Linked DNA regions of Elephas maximus indicus. The main gene of each other region encodes a partner of the protein of the gene in region 3 in a complex. Links are inferred from orthologs where the notes say so. Each region holds a gene or a part of one and is shown on either strand. Other genes may lie near its edges.

Region 1 (7,371 bases), on a different chromosome or scaffold from region 3:
GTGCAGCTCTGCCAGGGGAGCTGCCCTGCCCTGTCTAAAGTCTAGAGAGTAAACAGGACAGGAAGCCATTTGCCACTGGGTAATGAGACATTTTCAGTCCATTCTTCACCCAGCACCCAGATGGCCTTCCCAGAACACAGGCCTGACCCACCACCCCCTGCTTAAATGTCACCTAAAATAAAGCCATTCTTCATCATAACTCCAAGGCCTCCACAGCCCTGCCCCCTTAACAACAAGGCCTCTCTCAGTCTCCTGTGTATTCATGTTTTGTCTTAAAACTATAAAAAGAAAGCAGCTTACTAACATTACCATCAAGCCAATACAGCCTCTCTCGGTTCCTGCGTCAGATGCCCCTGGCCCTGCTAGACCGAGGCAGATACCAGGTGGCATCTCCTTGGCTTTCAAGGTTTTGCCACTTGTGTGGTTATCAGGAACCTGTAATAATGCAATTATCAAGTTCCCAACACCAACAGAATGGACAAGTGATGTAAAATAATTCCTACAAAAAAACTGTAGTTTAGAAGACAGATCCTCTCCCCCCCAAAATGTACGCACAAGCAACAGCAAAGGCAGCCAGTCGGCTCCTTGTCTTTGGAGCTTGTCAAAACAATGATGACCTAATTAATCAGATGGAGGTGATGTGATTTTCAGTAAATCTGTTCTTTTAAAGACATCCTATTTGCTATAGTGTTTAACAGTGAACAAGACAATTTTTTCTTTTTTATTTGCTATAGTGTTTAACAGTGAACAAGACAAAGGAGGATGTTGTGTGTATCTATGCTGTAGTAACAGCTCTGTAAAAGCCAGGTGCATCAAAGAATAGGCCTGAAGGAGACAGAGAATTAAAAATAGAAATAGCTGTTAGATCAGAAATACTACTCCTTCCAAAACCCACCACCCTATAAAAATGTTCTCTTCTGTGGCTCTGTTGTATTTGAGAAATTTGGAGCTGACTGGAAGGATGGAAACAAGGAGCATGATCTGGTATGGAGAGAAGTACAAGGGGGTGAGGGTGGATGCGGGGAGGGCAGGATGGAAAGAAGATGGCCAGGAGGACAGAATGAACAGAGGGGAGGGTGGAGGCAGCTGCAGGCGGGGACAGCGGTCAAGTAGGGGTTGGCTGGCCTGGGCTGAGGTGGCTGGGCTGGCCCTCTCACCTGCTCCTTGTTCATGTCTTCCGGAGCGAGCCCGTCGACAATCGGAGTGCCTTTGGCTTTGCCTTTCTTTCCTTTCTTTTTAGGCGCCTGTTAGTTAAAGAAAGGAGCTGTGGTGACACAGTGGTTAAACGCTCAGCTGCTACCTGAAAGGTCGGTGGTTGGAATCCACCAGCTGCTCCAAGGGAGAAAGATGTGGAAATTTGCTTCCGTAAAAATTATAGCCGTGGAAACCCTATGGGGCAGTTTTACTCTGTCCTATAGAGTCGCTATGAGTGGGAAGAGACTCAGAGACAGTAGGTGTGGTTTTGGTTTTGTGGTTAAACAAGGGACGAAGGAGTAAATAAACCATCTAAGGGCTCCCACTTGTTGGCCAGCTCCAAGACCCTCCCGGGGGCCTTTCTGGGAGAAAGAAGCACCTCAATGGAATCTCTGTCCCAACAGGAGGGCCCTGAAGTTCCATCCTTAATGCCACACACCCCACTGGGTCCTTCGGAGAAGCACTAGGGGAGGACTTCCTTTTCACGGGATATTTTTTCCAGCTGAAAGGAGGGGCAACCCCTCCTGAACTCACCCACTCCTTGGCATAAGACAAAGACCTCTTTGCCTTTGGACAAAATTTATCTTTGGTTGCAAAATTTACTTGGAGTCAAAATGGAAGACCCCCAAAAGCACAGTCAAACACTACCACATTTGTTACAAGCTTGGTGACCACCATGGAAAAACCTCCAAAAAACCAATTCATGGGTGTAGGAAGCAGGGCTTCTGCAGCAAGGATCACAGAATGACATCAATTTGAGGCTTCCTTTCTTCCAAATACAAAACTCCTTCAAAGAACCCAGGTCAAGAGAGCTTCTGAACTGCTGTGTAAACAGGTCACCAGACCCAACTGCTCATGGTGAGAGAGAACCTCTGACCCTACTCATTCTCCATATCTGACTTTACAAATCTTTATCCTTAGCCCTTTGCTACTCCCAACTCCCTGAAGCCCATGCTTCCATGTGTGGGTATCTATGTAACTTTCTTAGAATTGCAAAAAAATGTCAAGCGGAAATTTTAGAAACACAGAGAAGCAAAAAAAAAAAAAAAAAATCGCCCGTAGTTCCACAAGCTAATGTTAATAAACCAAAAAACCCAGGGCCGTCGAGTCGATTCCGACTCACAGCGACCCTATAGGATAGAGTAGAACTGCCCCGTAGAGTTTCCAAGGAGCGCCTGGCGGATTCGAACTGCCGACCAATGATAATAAGCGGAAGTATTTTGCTGATGGTCTCTTCACAATCTACTCTCCAACGATCCAACCATGGAAGCCCCAGGCTCCACCTTCCCACCACCACCCCTTTTACTGCTCTTTCTAACCCTCTCTCTGAAAGATCTATTCCAAGAAGTCGACCCCATTTGAGTCTACCCCTTGGTGAGCCCCTGGCTCTCCCTCCCGGGACCGGCGGTCCTAGGATACTGCTGACCAGCCTGTCCTTCCTGGGGTCCCTGGGTGGCCCCCTGGGGGGGCCCCCGTGAGATGAGACTCTAGGCCCCAAGCCCTTCACTCCAGGCAGGAAATCCCCTCAGGCTCAGGGTCTCTCGTACGGGTACTTTGCACACCGGGCCCTCGGGCTCCAGGGCTGAGCAGCCCTGTGAGCACAGCATCCTGGACAGCTCATGGCTCTAGGTTGGGCGCAAGGTCTAAGACCCCCGAGCTCACACCCCCGGTCCGGGATCCCAGCGAGCGCAGTTCCAGCGCCCCAGAGCTCAGATCCCGGCTTGGGGTCCCAGTGCGCCCAGGCCCCCGGTCCGCACCCCGGCCCCCCTCACCATGGCTCTGCCGGACCGGCCTCGGCGCGGCCCCCACACTAACTCTCAGGGCCGGTGAAGATGCGCCTGTCTCCCAGCAACGCTCGGCGCTCCCGCGCCAAGTCTCAGGGATCCTCGCGAGATTTCGCCTGAGGCGGCGGGCCTGGCAACGACGGGAGAGCGTCCCTAGCAACGCCCGCGGGGAGGGAGTTCCAAGTCGCGGAAGCCGGGGCAGGCCGGGCCACAGCCCCGCGTCACCGATCGCCTGATCTCCCCAACAGCCCTAAACGCGTGTTGTCGCCGAACTGGGACGAGGAATTCCAGGCCCCCGACTCCGGTCTGCAGCGGGTTGGGGATCCTGACCCAGGCCCGGGAGGTCTCTGCTTAGTTGTCCCCTTCCTGGGCTACCAACTAAAATCTGAAAACTAAGGAAACAGCTTGTTACCTAACAGGAAATATAATTTACGTCTTCTGTTTACTGCCTGTCTCCTCTACTGTAACTTAAGCTCTTCGCTACTGTAATTTAAGCTCCATGACGGGAGGGGGCTCTGTTGCCTTCACTCTGTGCTCCAGGCTCTTAATAAAGATGTGTTGGATGAAGGAGTGAGTGAGTGAACGAATGAGCCTACACGGACAAGGTTCTGGATCATTGTCCAAATCAAATTGAAATTTGGGTTTGAGACTCTGCCCCCTGGGACTCACCCCACTCTGGCCACCTTTGAAGGGTCCTCCCGCTTACTACCCAGGTGAAGGTTGAAAATAGTTGGATTTCCACAAATCCTGGGGGGGGGGGCGGTGGGAAATATATATATATAGGAAACCCTGATGGCGTAGTGGTTAAGTGCTACAGCTGTTAATCAAGAGCTTGGCAGTTCAAATCCGCCAGGCGCTCCTTGGAAACTCTACGGGGGCAGTTCTACTCTGTCCTATAGGGTTGCTATGAGTCGGAATCGACTCGACGGTAGTGGGTGGTATATATATACATACATATATATATATATATACATACATACATATATATATATATACATACATACATATATATATATATATATATAAAAGCCACGGTGTTTTCAATCACCTCATATGCATTCGAAAGCTGAGGAAGACTGAAGAAGAATTGATGCCTTTGAATTGTGGTGTTTGCAAAGCATATTGAACATACCATGAACTGTCAAAAGGACAAACAAATCTGTCCTGGAAGAACTACAACCAGAAAGCTCCTTAGAAGCAAGGATGGTGAGACTATGTCTCACATACTTTGGACATGTTATCAGGAGGAACCAGTCCCTGGGGAAGGACACCATGCTTGATAAAGCAGAGCATCAGTGATAAAGAGGAAGACACTCAACAAGATGGACTGACACAGTGGCTGCAACAATGGGCTCAACCGTAACAATTGTGAGGGTGGTGAAAGCCCAGGCAGTGTTTCATTCTGTTGTATATGAGGTCGTTATGAGTCGGAACCGACTCAACAGTACCTAACAACATAGATAAAGGAAAAATGTTCAGCTTAGCTCCAAAGCTTTGAAATCAACAGTCTACTTGACACCTGCCCCTATTGCTAAGTGACAGCATGTCCACCCTTAACAGAAATGCACTGCTGTGCTGGAGACCTCAGCTGTGGCCTCTCTGTTCTCATGGAGAAGAAATCCCTCAGAGGCTTCCAGATAGGCACTGCTGAAAAGAGAGAGCTCAGTAAAACAAACGCTAGTCATTTTATGATTTCCAAAGTGAATTTCCAATTCCCCACCCCCCCCCCGCCCCACCATGCTATTACCTAGACATGAGGATCCAAGTCACCTGAAAGACTGAGGATTTGTCATAAGCAAGCGCCCATCTTTACACATCATTTGTCCTTTTTTCTCTGCTCTCAACTTTAGCAACTTCTTGAATAGTGGTTTTGCGATGGGTCTTGTTTTCCTATAGAGAAGATTCTGGAATCTTCTACCCCTGGAGAGTTGTGTAGAGGGCAGAATGTGGGTAATGACAGAGGACTCAGGTGGGCTCAGGTCTTCCCATCCAGCTCAGAAAGGAATGATGCCTCCGTAGCCGGGTCTGCTCAGTCCTCGGGAACCCTGCAGCAGCCTAGCTTCTGAGGCCACTGTGATAAGCTTGAGGGGCTTCCTGTTTGCCCACCAGACCCTTATTGTTCTTGGAGAGGAGCATCCAGTTGGAAGGACGGAGCCATGATTTATTTATAGCCTATCCCTAAGCCTTTGTGATGTCTGACCAGTCACCAGCCCCATGCTGGACTCCACTGGCAAGATGGGCCTCCTCCTTCAGAGGCAGGGGCCTCCCAGAGGGAGTCTGGCAGGCGAGACAGTGCAGCTGGGTAGCACAGTGGGACAATTATTATTGTTTAACACTTTGTCTAAGATCCAATATGCTAGGTACATCACGTTGATTGGCCTTAGAAGTCTAGCTGTGAGTACTGAATTAAATAAATGCATTAACAATAATTCCTTCCACAGAAGGGCAAGAAGAGGAGGGTTAGCTCAGGATAGCCAAGACAGGGTTTTCATCTGTCAGAAACCGACTGAGCAGTATGTTCTCTCTTCATATAAGTATGGATTGCAGAGATGAATCGTGTGGGTGCCCAGCTGCCATGCTCCTGGCTCCCAACAGGGACCTCAGTTTTTCATATTGGATTCGAGTTCAGATTTTTAGAAAAGAGCTCTTTCTTCATATTGTATGGCTTAAAATATTTTGTTCAGTATCAAGCTGTGTAGCTCAGAAACCCAGATAAATGGCATCTGCATTTCCTGCAAAAACCCCAGAGCAAACATTAATCCACAAACTGACTGGCCATTTCGCCCAAAAAGTTTGACCCACTTGGTCAAACTGCCTGAATGTGTGTTTGAAAATGTTCTCGATGAAAAATTAAAAGTAAATGCTGGCCTCCAGAGTCAGATTGTCTGCCACTTACCATCTGGAGGGGCCTCTGGCAAGACCCCTCTGTATCAGTTTATTCACCTCTCAGGTGGGAGTACTTATTAAGTAATAGTTACAGTTACTAGGACTGCACAAGTTGCCCCAAAATGTAATGACTTAGTACAATGGATTGCTTGTGAATTTGCAATTTGGTCAGGACTCAGTGGGAACGGCTTACCTTGGCTCTGCTCATCACCCATAGAGGCGGTTCAAAGGCAGGGTCTGGAATCAACTTTCTGCCTGTTGCTGCGACTTTAGCTAGGCTGAAGCCAGAACACACACAGGAGGTCTCCACGTGTGCGCTGGGGCTTCCTCACAACATGGTGGCTGGGTTCTGCAGTGAGCGCTCTAAGAGAGAGCCAGTAGAAAATGAATCCTTTTTATTACCCAGCCTTGGAAATTACATGATAATATCACTCTGCCACATTCTGTTGATTGGAGCAGTCACAAGCCCGTCCAAGTTCAAGCAGAAGGAATATAGATGGGGGAGTCTTGAGGGGGTGGAAGGTTCTGGAAGACCAGAAATACTGCTGTAGCCATTTTGGGAAAATACCATCTGCCATCCCAACTGACTGGGAGTGGCCTGTGCTCCCACACTGTCCCTACTTCCCAGAGCAGCCCTTGCCTTGCTTCTTTCCCCATTGCCCATCCTGTAGTTCAGCGCTGTCTTTTTGTGAATCCAGGTTCTCAGCCTCACGAAGCATCAAACTGCAGGTGTTCCTGTGGGTAATGAGGTCATTTTAGAGGGTTGCAAGCAGCAGTTTCATTTTAGTTTTGTTTGTGTGTGTGTGAACTAAAAAATGGAAGCTATTTACTGCCTCATTGATGTTGAGACCCTAAGGCTAGGGATCAAGGACCTTCAGTGTCCCACATTCTTGGCTGAAGACATCCATCACAGCAGGTTTGGCCCCTCCTGGGGTGAATTTCCAGCTATCTGGGACTGTTGAAGTCTGCCTGTGGAGGCAAGACAAATACTCACCTCCCTCCTCTGTGAGCCTTTTCCATTTCCGGCTGGAGACAAGCTCTTCCTCCTCGATGTTCTTCTTGGGTTTAGTTTGTTGTTGTAGAAGTGCAGAGCATGTGTTCTGGGCTCAGAATCCAGCTTGATTTTGGAGCGTCTGGCTGTGCTGCCTCAGCAAGTACAGCTTCTGCTCCTGGAAAACTGGCTTAATGGAAAGTACGCCCTTCCTAGAATCACTGAGGGAACTAACAGAGCCTGCCTGCTAAAAACCTGAACCGTTGCCGTTGAGTCAATTCCGACTCATAGCGACCCTACGGGACAGAGTAGAACTACCCCATAGGGTTTCCAAGGAACGGCCGTTGGATTTGAACTGCCGACCTTTTGGTTAGCAGGGGCTGGAGCGGGATCTCTGCGGCCTTGGAGGGAGTACTACATTTAGCCCCCTCCGCTTGCCCACCCTCTCCCTTCCTGCCTCAGGGAGTCCTCCCTATCCCCAACCTCTTACCCCGGCATACCCACACCGCCCCCACC
Region 2 (8,377 bases), on a different chromosome or scaffold from region 3:
AGTCTGGCCAATGGTTTATCAATTTTGTTAATTTTTTCAAAGACCCAGCTTTTGTTCTTGTTAACTCTTTTTTCTGTTCTCTAATTCATTTAATTCTGCTCTAATTTTTATTATTTGCTTTCTTCTAGTGCCTGAGGGTTTCTTTTGTTGCTATTTGTTCAAGCTGTAGCGACATTTCTTTGATTTTGGCCCTTTCTTCTTTTTGTATTTGTGCATTTATTGATATAAATTGACCTCTGAGCACCACTATTTCTACTTTTAAAAAGAATCTAATAAATAAAAATAAACCAATGGAACAGACTCGTGAGTCCATCACGTACAGCCCTCACAATGTCAACACTCCACCATTTCTACCCAGCCTGCCCTGTTTCCATCCATCCAGTCTCCCTGCCCCTCCTTGCATTCTCATCTTTGCTTTTGGGTAAGTGTTAACCATTTGGTCTTATATAGTTGACTATTTAAAGGAGCACATTTCCAATGAGTGTTTTTATTTTATAGGCCAATGTATTATTTGGCTGAAAGGTGACCTGCAGGAGTGGCTTCAGTTTCAGATCAAAAGGTACCTTAGGGCTATAGTCTCAGGGGTTCCTCCGGTCTCTATCAGTCCAGTAAGTCTGTTGGGTTTTTTTGTTTGTTTTTTTATGAATTTGAGTTTTATTCTACATTTTTCTCCCATTCTAACTGGGACCTTCTGATTCATTCCTGGTGAGAACGGTAGTAGTGGTACCACCACCTAGTTCTAGTCTCAAGCTAGAAGAGTCTGTGGTTGTGTGAGCCATTAGTCCTGTGGACTAATTTCTTCCTTAAGTCTTTGGTTTCCTTCACTCTTCCAATAAAATCTTTTAACTCTAATTGTATTCATCAGATTTTTCTTTCTACAAAATATGCTTAACACAATTAAGAAATTTTTAACTATATCATTCTTTCTAGGAAGGCTTTCAAATTACCTAAAATTATCTAAAAAATATGTGATCACTTCTCTTACAATGTACCCTGACGCTTTTTAAACAGTACCATACAACTCTAAGGACATTTTAAAATAAAAAGCATTTATTAAATAATTCTGGCTCTTAAGGTTTACCGTCATAAAGATCAAGTAGTATTACTATTATCAAAAGACGGATCTTTGGCAGTTTCTTTTCTCCGCTATTTTTCTGTGATCGCCACAACAAACGACTAAAAACATCTCAGGGCTGTTTTTTCGTTTGTAAATATTAGTTATTAACCTGAATTCACTTTGTTTCATGCTGAGAAAAATGGTATGTTGATAGTGTTTTGAGCGCTCAAGAAAGGAAACAAAGGTGGAGTATTTTTTTTCACGGACAAAGTGTTTACCTCTACTCCTTTATGGTTTTTTAAATATTGTTTTTCCGGTGACTTTGTCAATTACTAAACAATTTAATAAAACGGGTAACTAAGAGAAGGTAGTGATCAACGTTTGGGTGTTAAATCACATTACTCAATGAAAACAATTTAAAAGTCTTGCAAATAAACGTGGATAATCGGTTTTCCGCTTCCCCAAACACAAAACACATCAATCCTGCCCCTATGACCTACAGTGACCGAGCCTCTCCGCCCGGCCGGAGCACAGGCTTCTTAAAGCGTGGCCACTCGATTTTGCAACTTAGTCTTTATTAAAATTGTTTTACGTTTTTGTTTCTTAAGACAACAGGCCGGGGGTGAGGGAAAGAGGGAGGCGCAAAACTAGCCGCAGGGCATGCATTTCCGACGAGACGCCGAAGCACTGCTGTGACCTCTCCTCCCACGTCCTCGCTAGGGAGGCAAAATGGTGGCCGCAAACACCATCAGGCAGGGCTCGGGCGGGGTTTCCACGCGGCCGAAGAGGATCCAGCTAGATTCTGACGGCCAGAACCTGTCCTCACCCGGGCCGCCCAGCGGTATCCACAGCCTGGGCAGCTGCCGCCGTAGCGGCCGCAGCACCAGGAACCCCTGGCCCGGGCTTGGAGGCGGCGTCCCGGTGACCGGGCACAAGGACGCCATTATTACCTTCCCTGCCGGCGCCTCACCGCAGCCCGCGCCGGAGCCGAGACTCGGCCCTCCTGGGGAGGGGTGGGGAAGGGAGGGCGGGAGGAGGAGGAGACGGGAGGGGTGGGGAGCGGGAAGAAAGGGGGAGGCGGGGCCGAGGCGTCGGCCCGGGGAAGCCTCGGAACTGGAGGCGGCGGGCCTCCCCTCAGTTTACCCTCTCCCTGCGAGTAGGGGCTCAGGATGGAGGGCGAACGAGCCCCCCCAAGAGCTTCCCTGCGCAGCCCCGGGTCGCGGTGAACAGCAAGCTCAGCCGCTTCCCCAGAGGCTCTTACCTGTGCTTTCCCATGCTCTATCCTCCGCCATCTTGGTGCGGAGCCCGTCGCCTGGGAGATGCCTATCGTTAACCTAGGTCGCGGCGCCCTTTCCCCCTCCAGCCCCGCTGGGAGGATGGGCCGCTCCGAATCCCCGGGGCGGGAGACCCTGGGGAGAGAGGCCCGGGAGGGGGAGTGCTGCGAACGCGCGCCCTTCCCCCTTTCCCGCCACGTGCAGCTCCAGCGTTCGGGCGACCAAAGCCCGCTTCTGCAGCCCGAGACCCGCTCGCCACGCTTCCCGGCCATTTCAGGTCCTTCAGTGCCCCGGCCTGAGCCCTGTGGCCTCGGGGAGTTTTACTAAGGTTCCGAGCCCTTTAGTATTAAATAATTCTGCTCCATCAGGGGACATCGCAGACATACTACTCTCCCCCCTCCTCTCCTGTTTGGACGACGTGGCGTTGCTCGAATTTTTACTGCAGATTTTAAAAGCAGCCGTAGAGCTGCTGAGTGAAAAGCCCGGCTCCCGCGGGGGTGATTGCCAACTGCAAGCGAGCCTCCTCCCCTTCCCATTCACGGCGGCCGAGCGCAGGGGAGCCGCCCAGGCTGCTGCAGAACGGCCGGCCCAACCCCGCTCCTGCCCTCGGCGTTTGCTCCCGGCCTGTCCTCTGCGCCCTCCCAGAAAAGGCGACCGCACAGCCTGTGAGAACTGGAGCTAAAACGGAAAACTGGGCCGGGTGCAAGAGGAAACCGGAGTCATTAGACTATTATTACTACAGGAGAGGAATAGCTGTAGAAAAACATGGGTAGGAGAGGCGCAAACACTGCGTCGCCAAGGCTGCATTTCTGACACAAAATAGAAGGTTCTCATAGCAACAAAAACATGCCCATGTTGTGCTCGGTATTACATACATTTAAATGTTCCTAGTTGTGAAATTTGGCATGACTTCCAGTTAAAGTTACTATAGAAAAGTTGTAAATCCTTTTCTGAAACTTTGCAGCTGTAGCGTGGTATTCAAGTTTTTGAATGTTTTATTCTAAGGAGAAATTCACTAGACTAGAATTTTTTTTTAATGATCTTTGAATAACAAATCCAAGCGTAAATGATTAGATAAACTTAAACCTGAAATGATACGTGCGTGTGCTGTATTAATTTAAATGACGTGATGTGTGTAAAAGCATGTATGTAAATTTTAAGAGGCCTTCAAATTGCACGGTATTCATACTTAATGTATTTACACAGATTTTTATGCTCCTCTGAGTAATTCTGTTTCAGTAATCTTTGACTAAACCCTAAAGCAAACTGACTATATTCTTCCTTACTGAATTAATTTTTTCGATAGAAGGTAGTTCATGTGGTGCTGTGATTAACATTCTGTGTGAAATTCAATATAAACGATTGTGTCATCACAAACTTTCTCACATTGGAAGATGTTTATATGACATGAGTATAGTTGTGTACAGTGAATTATTAACAACCCAAATATAGAAAATTAAACATAGCATTCATATTTCAATTTCAGAGCCATTATGGGCTAGTGACTTGTTTGTAAAGACGACTATGTCCATATAGATAATGAAAACCTAGAAGTAAATGTAGGAAACCCCAAATTTGGTCTCAGATTTACTACTCACTCACTGTGCCTTATCATACGCTTTTGCAGTTTTCCGTTTTTTGGAAGTCTTTCCCTTTTCTCTCCCTGATTCAGCATTCACTCTCCCAGACACATTCTTTGTCCCTACCTATTTTTTTTATGCGTCAGAATCTACTGGACAGCAACGGGTTTGGTTTTTCGTTTTTTTTCGCCTGTCCGCAGGATGACCTCCTTGAAGGTCACCTCCTCCTTGAAGTTTCCCTCTTCCTCTGTGGCCCCTGTACTTTTATTATAGAACTTCTCACATTAATTTGCAATGACCTTGTTTAGTTATTTGTTTTCTCATACCAAACTGTAAGCTCTTGAAGATGGGACCTGCTGTATTCATCCATATACCTAGTGCTTAGAACGATTTTTTAATTTTTGTATCTGAAATATATATTGTTAAAATTAAGACAGGAGTGAGTCTTCTCAGTGACTTTTTTTTAAAAGACTCAGATTCAGCAAAGTTACTCCAAGTAAGACAGGTTTTCCTTTTGCATTATAGTCTTGTACCAGTGAAAGTATCAGCAGTTCATGTTAATAAAATGGAATTCTTATATAAACATTTATAAATAAAAACTAAGAATTTAACAGATTCTGTGCAAACTTTATCCCCCCAATATTTTTATATTTTTGACTAAATTTAACGGTTTAGCAAAGATTTTTATTACTTAAATCATTTCAAACCATGTTAATCTCTTCTGAACTCCTAAAGCACATTTAAGAGAACACTCTTAAGTTTGGATGAGTGAAAAAAAAAAAAGTGTGTTATTTAACCCCCTCCCATTTGGTTTGAAGTCAGGAGCCTAGTCTTATACACTTATATAAACTCTTAGTACCTAGCCTAATTTGGGGCACACGTTAGGTGCTTAATAGTTTTCAACTGCCGATTAGACATAAGATTGTGTAATTATTCTGGAAAACTTGCCTCAAGGTGAAAATGATTATCCAAATAAGCTAAAGGCCCTCAGTGCAATTAGTAATTATTTGCATTTTGCTGACACTTGACTTTCCTCCTTTCTTTGGTTGTGGAAACCTGACCCCTGACTATATTACACTTTTAACCTTTTTTAAATATTATTACCTTGTTTTGGACAGTGGCGATCTACAACCGTGGTTTTTTTTTTTTTTCCTTTGAATGTATTTTGTTTCTGAGCTATAGCTTGAGTAACTTTGTAATACTGTATGCTGCAAAAGCATTTTTTCATTTTCAAGGCAATTTTCAGAAATTTAGAATCAGAAAAATATTTTTGGTTCCACTCGTGGGTATTATGCAACTGAAGGCGAAATCAGAGAAACAAGAGCATAATTTTAGATGGATGATATTTACTTGATTGATTATTCTGTGGGTCCAGGTGGATCTGCACAGATTATATCTTTTTGCATTCTTGAATTTATAGTGAATTAAATATATTCGGATAAGCTTCGGTACCGTGCCCACGAGGGACCCAGAAAATATTTATTCTGGATACAATTGACTCAGTTATCTAAGATTTGGGTGAAGTGGGAAGGGTAAATTGATGTAACTAATGCAAAATTTGAGCCCTGGTGGCGCAGTGGTTAAGAGCTCTGCTGCTAACCAAAAGGTCGGTGGTTTGAATCCACCAGCCACTCCCTGGAAACCCTATGGGGCAGTTCTACTCTGTATTATAGGGTCGTTACAAGTTGGAATCGACTTGATGGCAACAGGTATGCAAAATGATAGTCCAAAACATGTTTACACGATGTTTACTTTCATAGTATGGGGATAATACAAATCTCTTTGGACTAGGAATGATTGAAAGAACAAACACTGGCATATCCTTGGGCATTGCCATGTATTGACCTCATGATCCCAGACAAGTCATGCAATCTCTTTAAAACTTAGTTAATTCAGAAAAATAGAAATAATAATGCCCAAACTCCCTATCTTAGCGTTTTCATGAGACTCCACAGATGTAACTGAAATCTTTAAAAGTTAAGGAACTTGGAAGGAAATCTCTAAGTGAAATAACCCCCCAGCTCCCGGTAGGAAAGAGCTCTTAGAGGTCAACTCCAGCTTCTGTCCCGAGATTCACCTTCCCCTGGGAAAGCTTTGCTTTTCCAATGCTTCAGCTAACACAACTGGAGATGGTTTGACTCCAGGGTTACACTGGTAACTACTGTAATCTGCCAGCTACATGCCATGTGATCTAGTTTACATGATCTAGTTTACTCATCTTCAGTTTATGGCCCTTTCCTGGTTTCTTTAAACCTAGCAAGTAAGTATGCCCTTAAGCATAGATTCCTTGAGCTCTAGACCCGGGAAAAATGGGAAGAAGGAAGTTCCCTCTCTGATCTGTCCAATTCTAGTTTCCTAACACAACGTACATCCCTTTTGTAGATCATTAACATCAAAAATGTCCACCCCTTCGAGGAAGACACCACCCATTGTGATCTCAAAAGGAAAACATCTGACTATACAGAATAAGGGTATGGTTTCCTTACAGCATTACAATAATAAAAGTAGCTCTTTCTTATTAAGCTATGTAAGTACCTTATATACATTATCTCATTTAATCCTGCTGAGGCTGATACTAGTATCCCTAATTTACAGATGAAAAAAAATAAATCCACATAAATGGTCTACGTAAGGTCACATAGCTATGTAAGTAAGGGAGCTGGTTAGGAATATAGACCTGATTCCAGAGCCACTGTGCTGTACTGCTGCGTCTTTATTTTCTTTTTAATTATTTTTAATTGTGATAAAATATATATAACAAAACATTTGTTATGTCAACCATTTTTACTTTGTAATTCAGTGACAGTAATTACATTCACCACATTGTGCAGCCATCAGCACTGTTTTCTAAATGTTTTTCATCACTGTTAACAGAAATCAGTGCCCCTTAATAATTCCCTTTTCCCCCTCCCACCCACCCCTGGTAACCGCTAGTAAACTTTGGTCTTTATACATTTACCTATTCTTGATATTTCATGTAAGTGGGATCATACAATATTTGTCCTTTTGTGTGTGACGTTTCACTCAGCGTAATATTTTCAAGGTTCTTCCATATGGTAGCATGTATCAGAACTTCATGTCTCTTTATGGCTGAATATATATATATATATGTATGTATGTAAACCAAACTATTGCTATCAAGTCGATTCTGACCCATAGCTACCTTATAGAACAGAGTAGAACTGTCCTATAGGATTTCCAAGGAGTGGCTGGTAGATTCAAACTGCCAGTCTTTTGGTTAGCAGCCAAGCTCTTAACCACTGCACCACCAGGCTTCCATATATATATATATATATATCATATATATATATATATATCATATATATATATCATACATATCTATCTCACATTTCGTTTATTCATTCATCTGTTTACTCTTGGGTTGTTTCCACCTTTTGGCTATTGTGAATAGTGCTACAATGAATGTACAAGTATCTGTTGGAGGCCCTGCTTTTAAGTCTTTTGGGCATATACTGAGGAGTAGAATTGATGGATCGTATGATTAATTCCATGTTTAACTTGTTGGGAAGCTCTCGAATTGTTTTCTACAGTGGCTGCATCATTTTACATTCTCACCAGCAATGGATGAGGGTTCCAATTTCTCCACATCCATGTCAATACTTGTTTTCTGATAATATCCATCCTAGTGGATGTGAAGTGGTATCTCATTATGATTTTGACTAACATTTCCCTAATGACATACTTTGGACGTCTTATCAGGAGGGACCAGTACCTGAAGAAGGATAGCATACTTGGTAAAGTAGAGGGTCAGCAAAAGAGAAGAAGACCCTCAAAGAGATGGATTGACACAGTGGCTACAACGATGGGCTCAAGCATAGTGAAGATGGTGAGGATGCCACAGGACAGGGCAGTGTTTCATTCTGTTCTACATAGAGGATCACTATGAGTCAGAACTGACTTAACAACACCTAACAACAATGACTAATGTGACATTGAGCATCCTTTCATGTGCTTATTGGCCATTCGTACATGTTCTTTGGTGAAATGTTTGTTCAAGGCCTTTGCCCATTTATTTTTTAAACATGTTCTTGTCCTTTAGGTGAAAGTTTACACAGCAAATTAGTTTTCCATTCAATAATTCATGCACAGATTATTCCATGACAGTGGTTGCAATCCCCACAAGATGTGAGCACTCTCACCAATTCCACCCTGGGTTCCCCATTTCTCTTTGTCCTGTTTCCCTGCCCCTCCCTGCCTTCTCATCTTTGCTTTTGGGCGAATGTCGCCCGTTTGATTTCATATGGTTGATTGTTTTGTGGAGCACTTTCCTCATGATTGTTATTCCTTTTATAGGCCAGCCTATTATTTAGCTGAAAGGTGTCCTCTGGGAGTGGCTACAGCTCCAAGTTTGAAGGGTGTATTAGGGCAATAGTCTCAGGGGTTCCTCTAGTATCAGTCAGCAGTCTGGTCTTTTCTATGAAATTTTGTTCTACATTTTTCGTCCA
Region 3 (8,050 bases):
GGAGTCAGACAATGTTTATTTTGTGATCCATAAAGTTTTTGTTGGCTAGTTTTTGGAAGTAGGTTGCCAGGCCTTTCTTTCTAGTATGTCTTAGTCTGGAAGCTCTGCTGAAAACTGTCCACCATGGTTAACCCTGCAGGTATTTGAAATACCAGTGGCATAGCTTCCAGTATCACAACACAAAAGCCTCCACAGTATGACAAACTGACAGATGAGTGGTGTTAGCACACAATGAAGCAAAAACCAAACCTACTGCCACCCAGTCAGTTTCAACTCACAGCAACCCTGTAGGACAGAGTAGAACTGCCCCATCAGGTTTCCAAGGCTGTAAACCTTTATGCAAGCAGATTGCACATCTTTATTTCACAAGGCAACTCGTGGGTTCCAAATGCCAACCTTTCAGTTAGCAGCCAAGAGCTTTAGCCACTTTGCCACCAGGGCCCGTAGTAAACATTTGTTGAATGATGATCTCTCATAGCTTTCCATGACCACATCCACCACTGGCTGAATTTATGTGCCTCTTTTTTTTTTAAACCCTATGGGGCTTTTTATGGGGCAATTCTCCCCTGTCCTATAGGGTCGCCGTGAGTCAGAATCAACTCGATGGCAACGGGCTTAGGGTTTTTTTGTTTTCTTTTACTACTCCACATGCAGAAGCCCTAGTGGTGTAGCTTGGCTGCCAACAGAAAGGTCGGCAGTTAGAACCCACCAAACACTCCTCGGGAGAAAGCGTAGCAGTCTGCTCCTGTAAAGATTATAGCCTTGGAAACCACACGGGGCAGTTCTACTCTATCCTATGCAGTCACTAAGAGTTGGAATCGACTCAAGGGCAATAGGTTTGGTTTTTGGTTTTAATCCACATGCAGGAGCTCTGGTGGTGCAGTGGTTAAAGTGCTTGGCTGCTAACCAAAAGGTCACCGGTTCAAATCCACCAGCTGCTACATTGGAGAAAGTTGTGGCAGTCTGCTTCCATAAAGATTACAGACTTGGAAACCCTATGGGACAGTTCTACTCTGTCCTATAAATTTGCTATGAGTTGGAATAGACTCGATGGCAAAGGGTTTGGTCTTTGGCTTTTAATCCACTTGGGACTGCCATGAGTAAGAATCAAGTTGATGGCAACGGGTAATTTGTGCTCCTATATCACCATTTCTATACCTTTATTTTTTTCAGTTGCCGTCAAGTCAGTTCTGACTCATGGTGACCGCATGTGTGTCAGAGTAGAACTTTGTTCCATAGCGTTTTCAATGGCTGATTGCCAGGCCTTTCTTCCAAGGCAACCCTGGATGGACTCAAACTGCCAACCTTTGGGTCAGCAGCCAAGTGCATTAGCCGTTCGCACCACCCAAGGACTCCGTACCTCTATATGTCTTTGTTGCTGGGTGCCTGTTGAGTCAATTCCAACTCATAGTGATCCTGTGTGACAGAGTAGAACTGCCCTTTAGGCCATGGCGTCACTAGAATTGTGTTACCCAGTGTGGAGACTCATGGTGTCACCCCCCTAGTGCTAATTACCACAATATTGTAGGTAAAACATCAAAAAAGTGACAATATCAGTGACTATAAAAACACCGGCAGCAACAAAAACAACAGTGCATGCTTGTAGCACTTGTAGATGAAACCACATGATTCGAGGCATCACTGTAATTGGCTAATAACGACTGCTCTGACCGGAGCACGTTGGAAGGTTCCAAAAGTAAATTACTGTAGAGTTTTAGCCTCGTAGCTATATGGATATAGGTAACCTGGGCTTACAAAAAAATTTTTGTTGTTATAAGTATCTACAGTGATATTTTTAGGAAAAATAATAAATTTCTGCTGAAACACTTCACAAAACTTTTAAAGAGTCATTTTGGTGTCACCCCCTCTAACAGTGTCACTGGTGCAGTCTGCGCCCCCTCCCCCTTCCCCAGTGACAGTGACAATACTGCGCAAAGGTTTTTTCATGGCTAGAATCTTTTTTTTTTAATTGTACTTTAGATGAAGGTTTACAGAGCAAACTAGCTTCTCATAAACAATTAATATATATATTGTTTTGTGACACTGGTTGCCAATCATGGCTATAATCTTTATGGAAGCAGATTGCCAGGTCTTTCTTCCACAGAGACGCTGGATGGGTTCTAACCACCAACCTTTAGGTTAACAGCAGCTGAGCGCTTAACCATAGTGCCACCAGGGCTCCATACCTCCATTACAGCACCTACGAATTGGTGCTTGTGACCTTTGCTGGTCTATTTTGCCTCCAAGCGGACGGTGAGCGTGGGGACTGTGACTTCACTTTCTGAATCCCAATGTAGTGGCTAACATGGTGACTAGAATGTACTCGATACTAAATAAACGCTTGTGGAAGAAAGGAAAGGTGCGGAGGGGAGAAGGAAAGGGAAAAAGACCCCTAATTCGCCGCAGGCTCCTTCAGGGCAGGTCACAAATGACCAGAATCCTCAGTGTGCTGTCCACACTGCCTGGCACAGCAGCTCTCAATAAAAGTGCTAAATGGATTATTATTTTTGTCTTTATAACAGTGTCTTGGATGTTTTTAATAACCCATATCTTGCTTGAATCTTCTGGAAGAAACGTTTTCTATTATCAAGAAACAACCCCGCAATCCAAATGTCCATCAGCAGATGACTGGATAAAATGTGGTACATACATACGACGGACTCTTCAGCCATAAAGAAAAATGAAGTTCTGATACCTGCAACTACACAGATGAACTTTGAAAACATTATGTTACGTGAAATAAGCCAGACACAAAAGGACAAATATTGTACGATTTCACTTACATAAAGTATCTAGAATAAGCAAATTCAGAGAGCCAGAAAGATCAGAGGCTAGCGGGGCTGAGGGGAGGGGAAAAGGAGGAGTTACTGCTCAATGCGTGTAGAGTTTCAGAGTGACTAAAAACAAATTTTTTTTTTTTTTTGGAAATAAATAGTGGTGATGGTTGCCCAACATTGTTAATATAACTAGTGGCACTGAACTGTACAACTAAAAATGATTATAAGTGGCAATTTTTGTCATATATATTTTACTGGAATTAAAAGCAAAAGAGCGAGCCTCGTTCACACTGAGGGCGCGCCGATCCCTCGCCGCGGGCTCCCACGCCCTGGAAGCGGCAGCCCTCCGCCCACCGGCACCGCGGTCTCTGCTGCAGACCCTCCCGACCTGGCTCACCGCCTCCGGGCTTCCAGGCGCGCAGCAATGCGGAGGCGCCGGGCCTGGATCCGCTCCTGAGGGTTATCAGAGTGCACCGAGGGCCCGAGAATCGGGGTTGATAAGTGTTCGTCCTCTTTCTCTAGGGGCCCTGGCGGATTCATGGCTGCAGCCTCCCGGCCTGCAGGCAGCTCCACCAGGTTGCTAGCAACAAGCCGTTGCCTGGGAAAAGCGGTTGCCAGACCGGCAGCTGGCGTGGTTCCGCGCGCAGTTCTTCAGGCTCCGCCCACCGCTAGCTCAGAATTCTGCATCCCAGCTTTGGGCTGTGTGTAGCCTTCTCTCCTACAATGAGCCTGTGAGTACTGTCTTGCACCCCCACGAAGGCCCAGTCGTGTCAACAGAGGCTGTGAACTAGCAGGTCACCACGAGACTGGAAGACTGAAGAGCTGGTACACGTTCTGGCTCATCACTTACTGACCCTGATGATTAATTTGAAGTAGAGAAAATGTATTTTCTTTAGTGCTTTAGTATTGAAGTAGAGAATATATTTTCTAGTTTAGTATAGCTGTATAGACTGTAATTAATCTCCAGTCTTTGAAATGTAATTATTTGCTCTAGAATCGGTCTCCTGATTGTTCCTTTAAAGAAAAATAAGGTAATCAGTTTTTTGTTGTTGATTAAACTAGGTTCCTCTCCCAGGGCCAAAACACACAGGACCAATGTAGCTGAACAAAACTCAGATCCATCTTGTGACTGAAACCAGGATGGCGTGAAGAGACTTTCAAGACTTCAATAATAGGTCACTTTATCATTATGTCCATCTCAAAGAAGAGTTAACATTCCGGGAAATCCCTAAACCCTGACCTTCTCCCTATAAAACTCTCTAGTTAGCCCTTTAGACAGAATTTGGGAGGAACTTAACCCCTCTGTCTCTTGGATACCGGTATTCAAATAAAGCCCTCTTCTTACAGCTTACCTCCTCCTGTCTCAGTACTGGCTTTGCGGCAGGTGGCTCGAATCCGCGATTTGCAGTAACAAATTCATCACTCATTTATTCATCAAATGAATATTTCTAAGAATTATATTCATCAAATATAATTGAGCGCCTCCTATATGCCAAGCCCTGTGCTAGAGCTAAGGATACGGGCATTGTCCTTTCCTCACCGGGCGTGCAGAGCCTACTGTCTCTTTGGAATGTTCCAACTAAAATGTATTGCATCCATTCACTCATTATGCATTCATTTTTGTGCATTTTGTGCATTCAGGACCCTACCTGCTCTAGAATAAAGCAAAGAAGGAAACAAGGGAGGAGGGCATGGAGGGAGGGCGGAAGGAACGGAGACATTTCCATCCAGCAAGGGATTGTTGTCATTTTCAGTAAGCTGAAACCCGGGGTAATCCCACCATCCCCATCTGCAACCACATACTTCAAGAGGGAAGGTGGGAACAGAGAAAAATAGTATGGGGGAATGAGAAAGAGGGAAAAAAGTTAAGAATACAGAGCACAATTAAATTCTCAAAGAAGCACCAAAAAGTTGTAGCCATTGAGTCAATTCTGACTCAGAGTAGAACTGCCCTGTAGAGTTTCCGAGGCTGTAATCTTTACAAGGCAGATTGCTACATCTCTCTCCTGCGGAACGGCTGGTGGGTTCAAACTGCTGCCCTTTCATTTAGCAGCCAAGTGCTTAACCGCTGGGCCACCAGGGCTCACCTTCACAGAGACACACTCCCTTGAAAAGGCACTATTTCCTTGGCTTTTTTTTTTTTTTTTTGGTCTCATTCTCAACTAGTTCTTTTTGAGAGTTTAAAAACTTCTTTAAAAAGCAAACTGGACATTTGACAGGGTCTTGGTTCCATTAGCCTATGAGAAACTAGGGAATGGGTGAGAAAATGTGGGTACTAGTCCTACCTCTTGCCCGCAAATATGGGCAAGCCACAACTTCTTGAGAGCCATTTCTCAACTGTTAAATGGTATCGTCTGCCTTCTTAACTCACAGGTGAAGTGAAACCTCAGAAGACCAGGAAAACAAAAGCCCTTTGTGAATAAGACCTACCCAGAGGCAAATGCAGTATTTTTTTTAAAAAAGACATTTCCAAGTCTCTAAGTGGTGGAGAAATTTAGGAGGGCCAAAGCCTTGGAGAAGCCCAAACAGTCCAAGAGCTACCTGAATCCTAGTTAGGGATGTGGAGGATGCTTCAGGGCCCTTTGCCAAATTTATCTCATTGGGTTGTAACCTTGAGCATTAAACTTTCCTATGGGCCACACATCAGAGGGGCAAGGTGTAGTTCTGACCACAAACTCTTCCAAGTGCTGACTCATGTTTCCACCATCTATGAGAAACAAGTATATCCATGTGTGCATGCCTGCAGCTGGGGGTAGAATACCATCAGACAGTCAGGAGGAATCAGCTGTTACAGAAGAGAGACGGCACCACAAACACTCATGAAGAACCATCCAAGAGATACTTGGTCCTAAAGTCATCCCCAGATGCCTCCAGTGTACTGTATTCTTTCTTATTATGAAGGTTCATGTATCAGTGACCCTAGAGATTTCGTGCACTGTCTTTTTTGTTGTTAAAAAAGATACTATATTTAGTTTAAAAAATAAATAAGTTTATTGTTGAGGTAAAAAATAACACATTCATTATTCAGCATTTAAGCAAAGTATACCAGATACCACTTGCCATTGATCTGATTCCAACCCATGGTGACCTCAGGTATATCAGAGTAGAACTGTGCTCCACAGGGTTTTCAATGGCTGAATTTTCCATAGATTGCCAGGTCTTTCTTCTCAAGCACCTTTTGAACCTTCAACCTTTTATTGAGCTGCCAAGTGTGTTAACTGTTTGCACCACCCAGGGAATCCTTAAGCAAAGTTGGAAAGAATAAAAAAGGAAAACACAAAATCACCCCAAATCATCCACTCAAAAATTAACAGGTCCCACAACTACAGGTCTCTACTCACCAGAAGCCAAACAGTAAGACAGTAACCAAAAGCTCACAGAAGAAGCAAGTGTACACCTCATCTATCCTGAAGTTTACTACCGGTCTCTACTCGCCAGGAACAGAACAGTAAGAAGGTAACCAAAAGCTCAGGGAAGAAAAAGTGTACACCTCATCTACCCTGAGACCAGAAGAACTAGATGGTGCCCAGCTACCACCACTGACCACTCTGACTAGAGTCATAATAGATGATCTTGGATAGAATGGGAGAAAAATATGCAGCAGAACTCAAGTTCTTATTTAAAAAAAAAGCAAAACAAACTGGGATGGTAGAGAACGGAGGACTCCCTGAGACTATCGCCCCAAGATACTCTTTAAACCTAGAACCGAGTCTATCCCAAGATGAAGTGGCATACAAAATAAAGGATATCACCCCTAAGAATGGTGCTCTACTTAAAAACCATCAGTATGAGACCAAAAGGTCAAGAATTACTCAATAGCAAAGATGGGATGATAAGGGGGCGGGGAAACTAGAGTACCGGAAATGGAACAAACAGAACTCAATTATACCATGTGATAATGTAACTAATGTCACCAATTTGTGTGAAAACTGTCAAATGGGAACCTAACTTGCTGGGTAAACTTTCACCCAAAACTCAATAAAATATTATTTAAAAACAAAAAAGTAGTAACTTCACCATTCCAAACATCTTTTAACTCCATTTTTTGATGTCTGACTGCTGACAGCTTGTAAGCATCAGCCCTCTCTATTTCCTTCTGCCCTAAGCAAGCCTGGGTACTGTCTCCTTTGGTGTCATCAGGAGATTCAAACTGTGCAGGAACTCTCATCTTGGCCTCACGCTCTAACCACAATTAAAGCCTCAGGCCAGTCTTCTCTCCTGGCTCTCTCAAGCCATTCTCCAGACAGCCTCAATTATGTAAGTAATAAACCTTTTTATACCCTCTTGAGGTATGTGTGTGGCATCATCCAGGCTTGACATCCAAACCAAAATTTGGGTGGGTGGCGGGGAGGGTCCATTCCACCTATTGGAATGCTTACATCTCTTTATGCATATATACAGAACATAAAGATAAAAAGACATGTGAAAACAAATTTTTGTGTGTATGCTTTAAATGAAAGTTTACAAATCTAGTCAGTCCCTCATATAAAAACTTATATACACCTTTTTTTTTTATGTACTCCTAGCTGCTCTCCCGCTAATGAGACAGCACACCCCTCTCTACCCTGTATTCGTGTCCATTCAACCAGCTCCTGTCCCCCTCTGGCTTCTCATCTCCCTTCCAGGCAGGAGCTGCCCAGGTAGTCTCATGTGTCTACTTGAGCCAAGAAGCTCACTCCTCACCAGTATCATGTTCTGTCTTATACTCCAGTCCAATCCCTGTCTGAAGAGTTGGCTTTGGGAATGGTTCCAGTCTTGGGCTAAAGAGGGTCCAGGGGCTATGACCTCTGGGGTCCCTCCAGTCACAGTCAGACCATTAAGCCTGGTCTTTTTACTAGAATTTGAGGTCTGCAACCCACTGTTCTCCTGCTCCATCAGGGATTCTCTTTTGTGTTTCCTGTCAGGGAAGTCATCGGTTGTAGTTGGGCACCATCTAGTTCTTCTGGTCTCAGGCTGATGTAGTCTCTGGTTTATGGGGCCCTTTCTGTCTCTTGGGCTCATCTTTACCTTATTGAAGACAAATATTTTTAATAAAAATATTGAAATTTAATTTTGCTTGATTTATCAGGAGAGAAACTTAAGTGAAACTAATGAAACTGAATTTGAAATGCATGTTTCTCTACCACATTATTTCCCGAAAATTTAAAAAATACTAAGAACTTTGAGTCACTACCTATTTTATCCAACTTAATTCCATTTTAGATACCAAAGGTTGTGACACTCTGCTCTAAAAAATTAAGATGTGAAACACTGTCAATTCTTTCTACCTATCC
Region 4 (7,293 bases), on a different chromosome or scaffold from region 3:
AGAGCTACGGCTGCTAACCAAAAGGTCAGCAGTTTGAATCTACCAGGTGCTCCTTGGAAACCATATGGGCAGTTCTACTCTGTCCTATAGGGTCGCTATAAGTTGGTTCTGACTCAACAGCAACTGGTTTTTTTTTTTTTTTACAGGTTAGAGCAGTACTCCCACTTCTCGGTACCAAATTCTGTCTAGTGCTGCTATAATAGAAATACCACAAATGGGTGGATTTAACAAAGAGAAATTTATTTTCTCAGTTTAGGAGGCTAGAAGTCTGAATTCAGAGCACCAGCTGTAGGGGATGGCTTTCTCTGTTGGTTCTTGGGGGAGGTCCTTATTCCTCAGCTCCTTGATAATCTTCATGTGGCATGGCATCTATCCTCTCCCATCTCTGCTTGCTTGCTTGCTTGTTAAATCTTTTTATCTCAAAAGAGATTGACTCAAAACACATCCTACACTAATCCTGCCTCAGTAACATAACAAAGACAACCCATTCCCAAATGGGATTATAACCACAGGCATAAATAGAGGTTAGAATTTACAACACATATTTTGGGGAGACACAATTCAATTCATAACAATTTATGAGGGACTTCTCTAATGGCAGAGCAATGTGGTAAGCTGGTGGGGAAATAATGTGCTCACTCAGAAGACGTACTAGGGACTGCCTCTTTGCAGCTTTGTATGTATGGCACCTGGAGAAGAGGTGAGGAGAGGCTATCACTTCCCTGAGGTGCCCTGACACTCAATTCAAGTCCATATCTGCTCCCTGCTCCATGATCACACCCTGAACTGGATCATCATTCAGAACAGCTCTATCCTAAATCTTAAATTCAAACATTCTACTTGCTCAAATCAACCTCCTACTTTTCCAGACCCCTTACTCAATTACTCTTTCTACTTCTCTTCACCCATTTTCTAGGAACCTCTACTTTCTATCCATGTATCAGTATAATGTTCCTCTTGTTCTCATTTCCCACCAAGCCCTTGGAGTCCTTGGCCCATCATTTCAGGCACTCTGAAGAGCTTTAGCTCCCTGACCCATTGCCCTTCCATTCTAAATGTCTGGCAAACTCCAATCCTGGATGAAATCAACTCTGTAATTTCTGTACCTATGTCTGGCTTACTAAGTGCTTAAGAAAATCATACAACTGGGAATATGGGTACCGTGCTTTCCACGTATTTTCCCAAATATAACTGCGTGGTGTTAAAACATGAATAAAACTCATAATGAAAAATTAAAACAATACAGCCATACATAGAGTGAAAAGAATTCTCCTTCATCCCCTCCCAAAAACCATTTCCAAAAGCAGCTACTGTTAACAGCTTGACATACGTTCTATACATATATTATTTCCATGCATGTATGATTGTCTTAAATATACACACATACACATACATATAAACAGTATACATATATACATACACATATATACACATATTTGAATATGGTACATAGCTAGAATTGTAGTAGACACTTGGTTGGACAACTTGCCTTTTTTTTAACGTAATATTTCTTGGTGATCTTTTCTTCTCAGTAGATACAAATATACTGCCTTCTGTAAAATATCGTATCCTCTTACTTATATTTAAGTCATTTATTACTTTCACTATGTAACAATAAAGAATATCCTTGTACATGCCACTCCTTGAACACATCTCCAAGTATTTCTCTGAAGTAGATTAGATCATTAGAAGTGGAAATGCTTGGTCAAAGGGTATGCATTTAACAATTTAACAAATACTTCTAAATTATCATCCAAAAAGGAGGGGAGCTGTACCAAACTGCCTTCTCAACTGTACAGGAGAGTTACTGCCCCTTGCAGGGTTCTCAACACTGCCCTGCTCTTGTTTCCATCCCTAGACATCTCTCACCCTCGTCCCCCACAGTAACTCAACCCTCCTATTGCAACCCCCATTCCCACACAAACACACACATTCTTAGCAAATGATCTCACCAACTATTTGTAGGGAAAATAGAAGCCACTGGAGTACTTTCCCAGCTTCCTACCAAAACTCACCCATTCACCCCCATCCTGTCCTTCTTCTGTCCTGTTATGGGGGGGCGGGGAGGAGGTGAGGGGAGTCCTTCCCTCTGTCTGAAGTTAATCCCAGTGTGGGGTCCTTCCTTTCACAGAGAGCTGGCTATATTCTGTCTAAAGGTCTCAGCTTCCACAGCCTCCTCAGCTAATGTCAATCTGTCTTCACTCACCTCTCCATTGAAATGGCTCTCCCTAGGTTCACCTTGGGCCGGATCCACGGAACTCCTTCAGGTCCTTATCTTAGGTAACACTGTTACTCGCTCCTTAAAACACTCTCTTCTTCATAGAAATGCCACTCTCCTGATTTTTCTTTCCCTCTCTCTGGCACTTTTCTTAATATCTCCTGCAGGTACCTCTAGTTCAAATCTTAAAAGTTGGGGTTTGGGGTTTCCGTCTTGGGCCCTGTGCTCACTCCGCTCTTTTCTCCCTGGAAGATGTCACCCGCTCCTCCCTTCAGTCATCATCGCCCCTGTCTTCTCTTCTTGGATCTGTATCTTCAGCTCAGACCACTGACTTGTCCAAAGAGGACCTCATCCCCTCCTATACCGCTCCTCCTCTCCACCCCACGCCCGAGTAGGAAGTCTCCCCCGACTCTTCTCTCCTCTCACTGCTCACAATCGATGTGTCCGCCGCCACTTGGCTCCAGTACCTCGCAAACCTGGGGAATGTAGTTCTCCTTGAAGTAGCTCTTCAGCCAGGGCTTGGCAGTGCGTAGCGAGGCCATGGCCAGAGGCCAGACTCCGAAGCCGCGCTCCGAGCCAGCTCTCCGCGCCCCAGCAGCAGACGGCGCGCGCGGACTAGGGGCTGGCGCGTCCCGACGTTGCCCTGGCAACCGCGGGAGTGGGGAGGAGCGCGGCGGAGTCTCCCGCCCCCATCTCTGGGTCCGCGGGGAGGGAGGCGGGCCTGGAACCTAGACTGAACGCTCCTGGGGAGAACGAGGGGGACGCCCGGGGCAGCGGCGGCGGCTGTGTGCGTAGTCGCCCCTCAGGGCGCGCAGCCCGTGCAACTCCTCGCGGAGTCCAGTCCCCCACCTGCCCACCGGCACCGGCCGCGCGCAGGGCCGTGGGACCGAGCAGGAGGCTTTACTATTTCGGCAGGGCCGTTTCCGGGAGGCGGAGCTCAGACCCCCATTTCCTTTCTCTTCGACTCGGTCGCGCTCCGGCGGAGGCGGCGGCGCCCGCGGGCTGTGCAGACCCCAGCGCCCAGCGCCCGGCGCCCAGCCCACGCCGCAGCCCCCGCGCCAGCCTCGCGAGCCTCTCGCGCCCCCGCCCCGGCGGCAGCATGGGCGGCGCCCGGGACGTGGGCTGGGTGGCGGCGGGCCTGGTCCTCGGGGCCGGCGCCTGCTACTGCATTTACCGGCTGACGCGGGGCCAGCGGCGAGTCGGCCGCGGGCCCCGGCTGCGCCCCTCGCCGTCCGCAGGTGAGGCCGCGGGCGTCTGGCGGTGGTCGGGGGCCGGGGAGGGCGCCAAAGACTCCGCAGGCGCTGGGGGCTTTCCCGCCCTCGCAGTAATCGCGCCAGAGGCGGGAGGGAGGCTGCATGAGAGCGCAAGGCCTGGAAGCCCAGGTGGAGAGAGCGGATTGTTCATTTGATTTGGGTAGGCGCGTTGGATCCTGAGCCTCCTCCCTGCCGCCAATTCTTTGTTCAAAATCACGGGATGAAAGGTTTCCCAAACTTAACTGTTTTTTTGAGTTCAGAGTCCAGCGGAGGATGGGTTTCTCAAACGCACGTTGATTGCCTCGCACTTTAAATCTTGCACTGGGCCTTTGTGGATGGGGCATTTCGTGCCTCGAGCCATAAGATGAAATGCTGTGTGCAGTTCCCTGGAAAAAGGGACGTCACCTGGGCCTGTGCTCGTCCCGGCCCTGTGCGGGGAGACACTTTTAAGTCACCGTGGTCCAGCATCTTGCCTGCAACTTTAAAAGCCAGAAAATCAGTTTTTGTAAGATTGAGCGGAACCCTGTTTTGTAGGTGCAAATGAGGCATGTAAAGGATTCGGGAGTAAAAGCAGCATCCAGGGCCCCTGATCACAAGAGTTAATAGTGGTAATCCGCTGGTTTTTTACATTTCGCTAACAGATTTTTAATTTGGATACCTTAGGACATCATGTCATTAATTGTTGCCCATAATCTACATTTTTCCCTTTTCCTCTTTTTTTTTTTTTTGGTGATTGCTCTTTAAGCAATGCACCCATTTTTAATAATAGGAGTAATGCTTGTTTATGTTTTTAAAAAATTAAAATAGTCTTACAAACAGGGTAGAAAATAAAATTGTTGGTAATCCTAGCTCCCAAAGGTGGCCACCTCTAACAACTGGGTGTATATATATAAAGAGAAGGAAAGGGATAGATATGAGATCATACAGCCCCTGCTGTTGTGTATCCTTTACCTCCCAGTGTATGGTGGGCACATGCACAGTCTGACTTCTGGTCATACAGTTTCATTTGGAAGAAGTCATGTTGAAACTGTATAACACAATAATAGTGTTACAGAACTCGCTTCCGTTTTTCAAATTAACAGCAACTGGGAAGAGTAGATAGGAAACTTAGGGGTCAGTGAGTTTATGTTAATGGGGGAGGAATAATTCCAAAAAGAGCGTGGAAGTGTTTGCACAACTGGAAGGATGTAATAAGTGTCACTGAGTTGTACATGTAGAAACTTAAATTGGTACATGTTCTGCTGTATATATTCTGAACAACAGCAACAAAAAATAATTTGTTAAAATCTGTTATAACTTCACTTTGAATAAATATATAGTTGTTATTTTGTCCGCGGACTGGTATTGGCCATTTTGAATGAGACAATTATTTAGTCTACTGAGAATGACAAACTGAAGAAGAATCGCTTCACATTCATCATCAAAAAGAATATTTCAGGATCTATCCTGAAATACAGCGCTGTCAGTGATAGGATAATATCCATTGTCTACGAGGAAGACCAGATAATACAACTGTTACTCACACTTATGCACTAACTGCTCATGCGAAAGATGAGGAAATTGAAGATTTTTACTGGCTTCTGCAGTCTGAAATTGATCAAATGCACTATCAAGAGGCATTGATAATTACTGGTGATTGGAAAGCAAAAGTTGGAAAAGGACCTGTAGTTGTAAAACATGGCCTTGATGATAAAAAATTGACACCAGAGAACACATGACAGAATTTTGCAACACCAGTGACTTATTCATTGCAAATACGTATTTTGGCAACATAAACTGCGGCCATACATGTGGACCTCTCTAGGTGGAATACACAGGAATCAAATCAGCTATACCTGTGAAAAGAGACGATGGAAAAGCTCAATATCATCAGTCATAACAAGGCCAGGGGCTGACCTCAGAACAGACCATCAGTTGCTCATAAGCAAGTTCAGGCTGAAGCTGAAGAAAATCAAAACAAGTCCACAAAACCAGAATACTGCCTTGAGTATATCCCACCTAAATTTGAGACCATCTCAATAAATGTGATGCATTGAACCCTAATGACTGAAAACCAGACAAGTTGTGGAGTGACATCAAGGACATCATATATGAAGAAAGCAAAAAGTCATTAAAAAGACAGGAAAGAAAGAAAAGACCAAAATTGGATGTCAGAAGAGACTGAAAATTGCTCAGGAACATAGAGTAGCTAAAGCTAATGAAAGAAATGAATAAATAAGAGATCTGAACAGAAGGTTTCAAAGGACAGCTTGAAAAGAGGCAGTATTTATAGTGGAATGTACAAAGAAAGCCAAAGGGAAGAACAGGTTTGGAATTTCTGAAGGTGAAAGAATTGAAGAAAAATCCAAGCCCCGAGTGGCGATTTTGAAGGACTTTGTGGACAAGATATTGAACAATGCAGGAAGCATCAAAAGAAGATGGAAGGCATACACAGAGTCACTGTACTAAAGAATTGGTCAACGTTAAGCAATTTCGGGAGGTAGTATATGATCAAGAACCTATGGTATAGAAGGAAAAAGTCCAAGCTGCACTGAAGGCATTGGTGAAAAACAGGACTCCAGGAATTGACAGAATACCCAATTGAGATGTTTCAACAAACAGATGCAGCACTAGAGGTGCACACACATCGGTACCAAGAGATTTGGAAGACAGCTGCCTGGCCAACTGACTGGAAGAGATCCATATTTGTGCCCATTCCAAAGAAAGGTGATTTCAATGGAATGCAGGAATTAATATCACACGAAAGTAAAATTTTGCTGAAGATAATTCAAAATGGTTACAGCAGTACATTGACAGGGAACTGCCAGAAGTTCAGGTCGGATTCATACTTATTCAATCTGTATCCTGAGCAAATTATCCGAGAAGCTGAACTATATGAAGAAGAACATGGAGCATGAGGATTGGTGGAAGGCTTATTAACAACCTGTGATATGCAGGTGGCACAATCTTGCTTGCTGAAAGCAAAGAAGACTTGAAGCACTCGCTGATGAAGATCAAAGATTACAGCCTTTAGCATGGATTACATCTCAACATAAAACAAAAGTCCTTACAACTGGACCAATAAGCAACATCATGATAAACAGGGAAAATATTGAAGTTGTCAAGGATTCCATTTTACTTGGATCCACAATCAGTGCTCATGGAAGCAGCAGTCAAGAAATTAAAGGATGTGTTGCACTGGGCAGATCTGCTGCAAAAGACCTTTTTAAAGTGTTGAAAAGCAAAGGTGTCACCTTGAAGACTAAGGTGCGCCTATATCCAAGACATGATATTTTCAGTCGCCTCATATGCACGTGAAAGTTAGTGAATAAGGAAGACTAAAGAAGAATTGGTATCTTAGAATTAGTGGTGTTGGCGAAGAATGTTGAATGTACCATGATTACCAGAAGAATGAACAAGTCTCTTTTGGAAGTGGAAACCCTGGTGGTGTAGTGGTTAAGTGCTTTGGCTGCTAATCAAAAGGTCCACAGTTCAAATCTACCAGGCACTCCTTGGAAACTCTACGGGGCAGTTCTGCTCTGTCCTGTGGGGCCACTATGAGTCAGAATTGACTTGACAGCAACAGGTTTTGTTTTGATTTTTTTGTTTGTTTATCTTGAAGTACAGCCAGAGTGCTCCTTGGAAGCAAGGATGGTGAGACTTTGTCTCATGTACTTTGGATATGTAATCAGGAGGGACCAGTCCCTGGAGAAAGACTTCATGCTTGGTAAGGTAAAGGGTCAGCAAAAAAGAGGAAGATGCTCAAAAAGATGGATCGACACAGTGCCTGCAACAATGGGCTCAAACATAGCAGTGATTGTGAGGATGGCACAGCACCAGGCA

The links.
Region 1: DRC1 (region 3) and GAS8 share a complex: the UniProt entries of both Homo sapiens proteins name them as parts of the nexin-dynein regulatory complex. The link is inferred for Elephas maximus indicus from reciprocal best matches to the Homo sapiens genes DRC1 and DRC4.
Region 2: DRC1 (region 3) and EFCAB2 share a complex: the UniProt entries of both Homo sapiens proteins name them as parts of the nexin-dynein regulatory complex. The link is inferred for Elephas maximus indicus from reciprocal best matches to the Homo sapiens genes DRC1 and DRC8.
Region 4: DRC1 (region 3) and FBXL13 share a complex: the UniProt entries of both Homo sapiens proteins name them as parts of the nexin-dynein regulatory complex. The link is inferred for Elephas maximus indicus from reciprocal best matches to the Homo sapiens genes DRC1 and FBXL13.

What each region holds. Positions count from the first base shown.
Region 1 is NC_064839.1:55,106,223-55,113,593, reverse strand, and holds the start of GAS8 (dynein regulatory complex subunit 4), read right to left. Parts: upstream 3,066-7,371; 5' UTR 2,970-3,065; coding exon 2,967-2,969; intron 1,245-2,966; coding exon 1,158-1,244; intron 1-1,157. UniProt on the Homo sapiens protein: Component of the nexin-dynein regulatory complex (N-DRC), a key regulator of ciliary/flagellar motility which maintains the alignment and integrity of the distal axoneme and regulates microtubule sliding in motile axonemes.
Region 2 is NC_064842.1:19,166,816-19,175,192, forward strand, and holds the start of EFCAB2 (dynein regulatory complex protein 8), read right to left. Parts: upstream 3,059-8,377; 5' UTR 2,350-3,058; coding exon 2,319-2,349; intron 1-2,318. UniProt on the Homo sapiens protein: Component of the nexin-dynein regulatory complex (N-DRC), a key regulator of ciliary/flagellar motility which maintains the alignment and integrity of the distal axoneme and regulates microtubule sliding in motile axonemes.
Region 3 is NC_064830.1:44,543,370-44,551,419, reverse strand, and holds the start of DRC1 (dynein regulatory complex protein 1), read right to left. Parts: upstream 3,343-8,050; 5' UTR 3,318-3,342; coding exon 3,175-3,317; intron 1-3,174. UniProt on the Homo sapiens protein: Component of the nexin-dynein regulatory complex (N-DRC) a key regulator of ciliary/flagellar motility which maintains the alignment and integrity of the distal axoneme and regulates microtubule sliding in motile axonemes.
Region 4 is NC_064826.1:46,424,439-46,431,731, reverse strand, and holds the start of FBXL13 (dynein regulatory complex subunit 6), read right to left. Parts: upstream 3,159-7,293; 5' UTR 2,761-3,158; coding exon 2,686-2,760; intron 1-2,685. Other genes in the region: ARMC10 (armadillo repeat-containing protein 10), read left to right, coding at 3,318-3,456. UniProt on the Homo sapiens protein: Substrate-recognition component of the SCF (SKP1-CUL1-F-box protein)-type E3 ubiquitin ligase complex.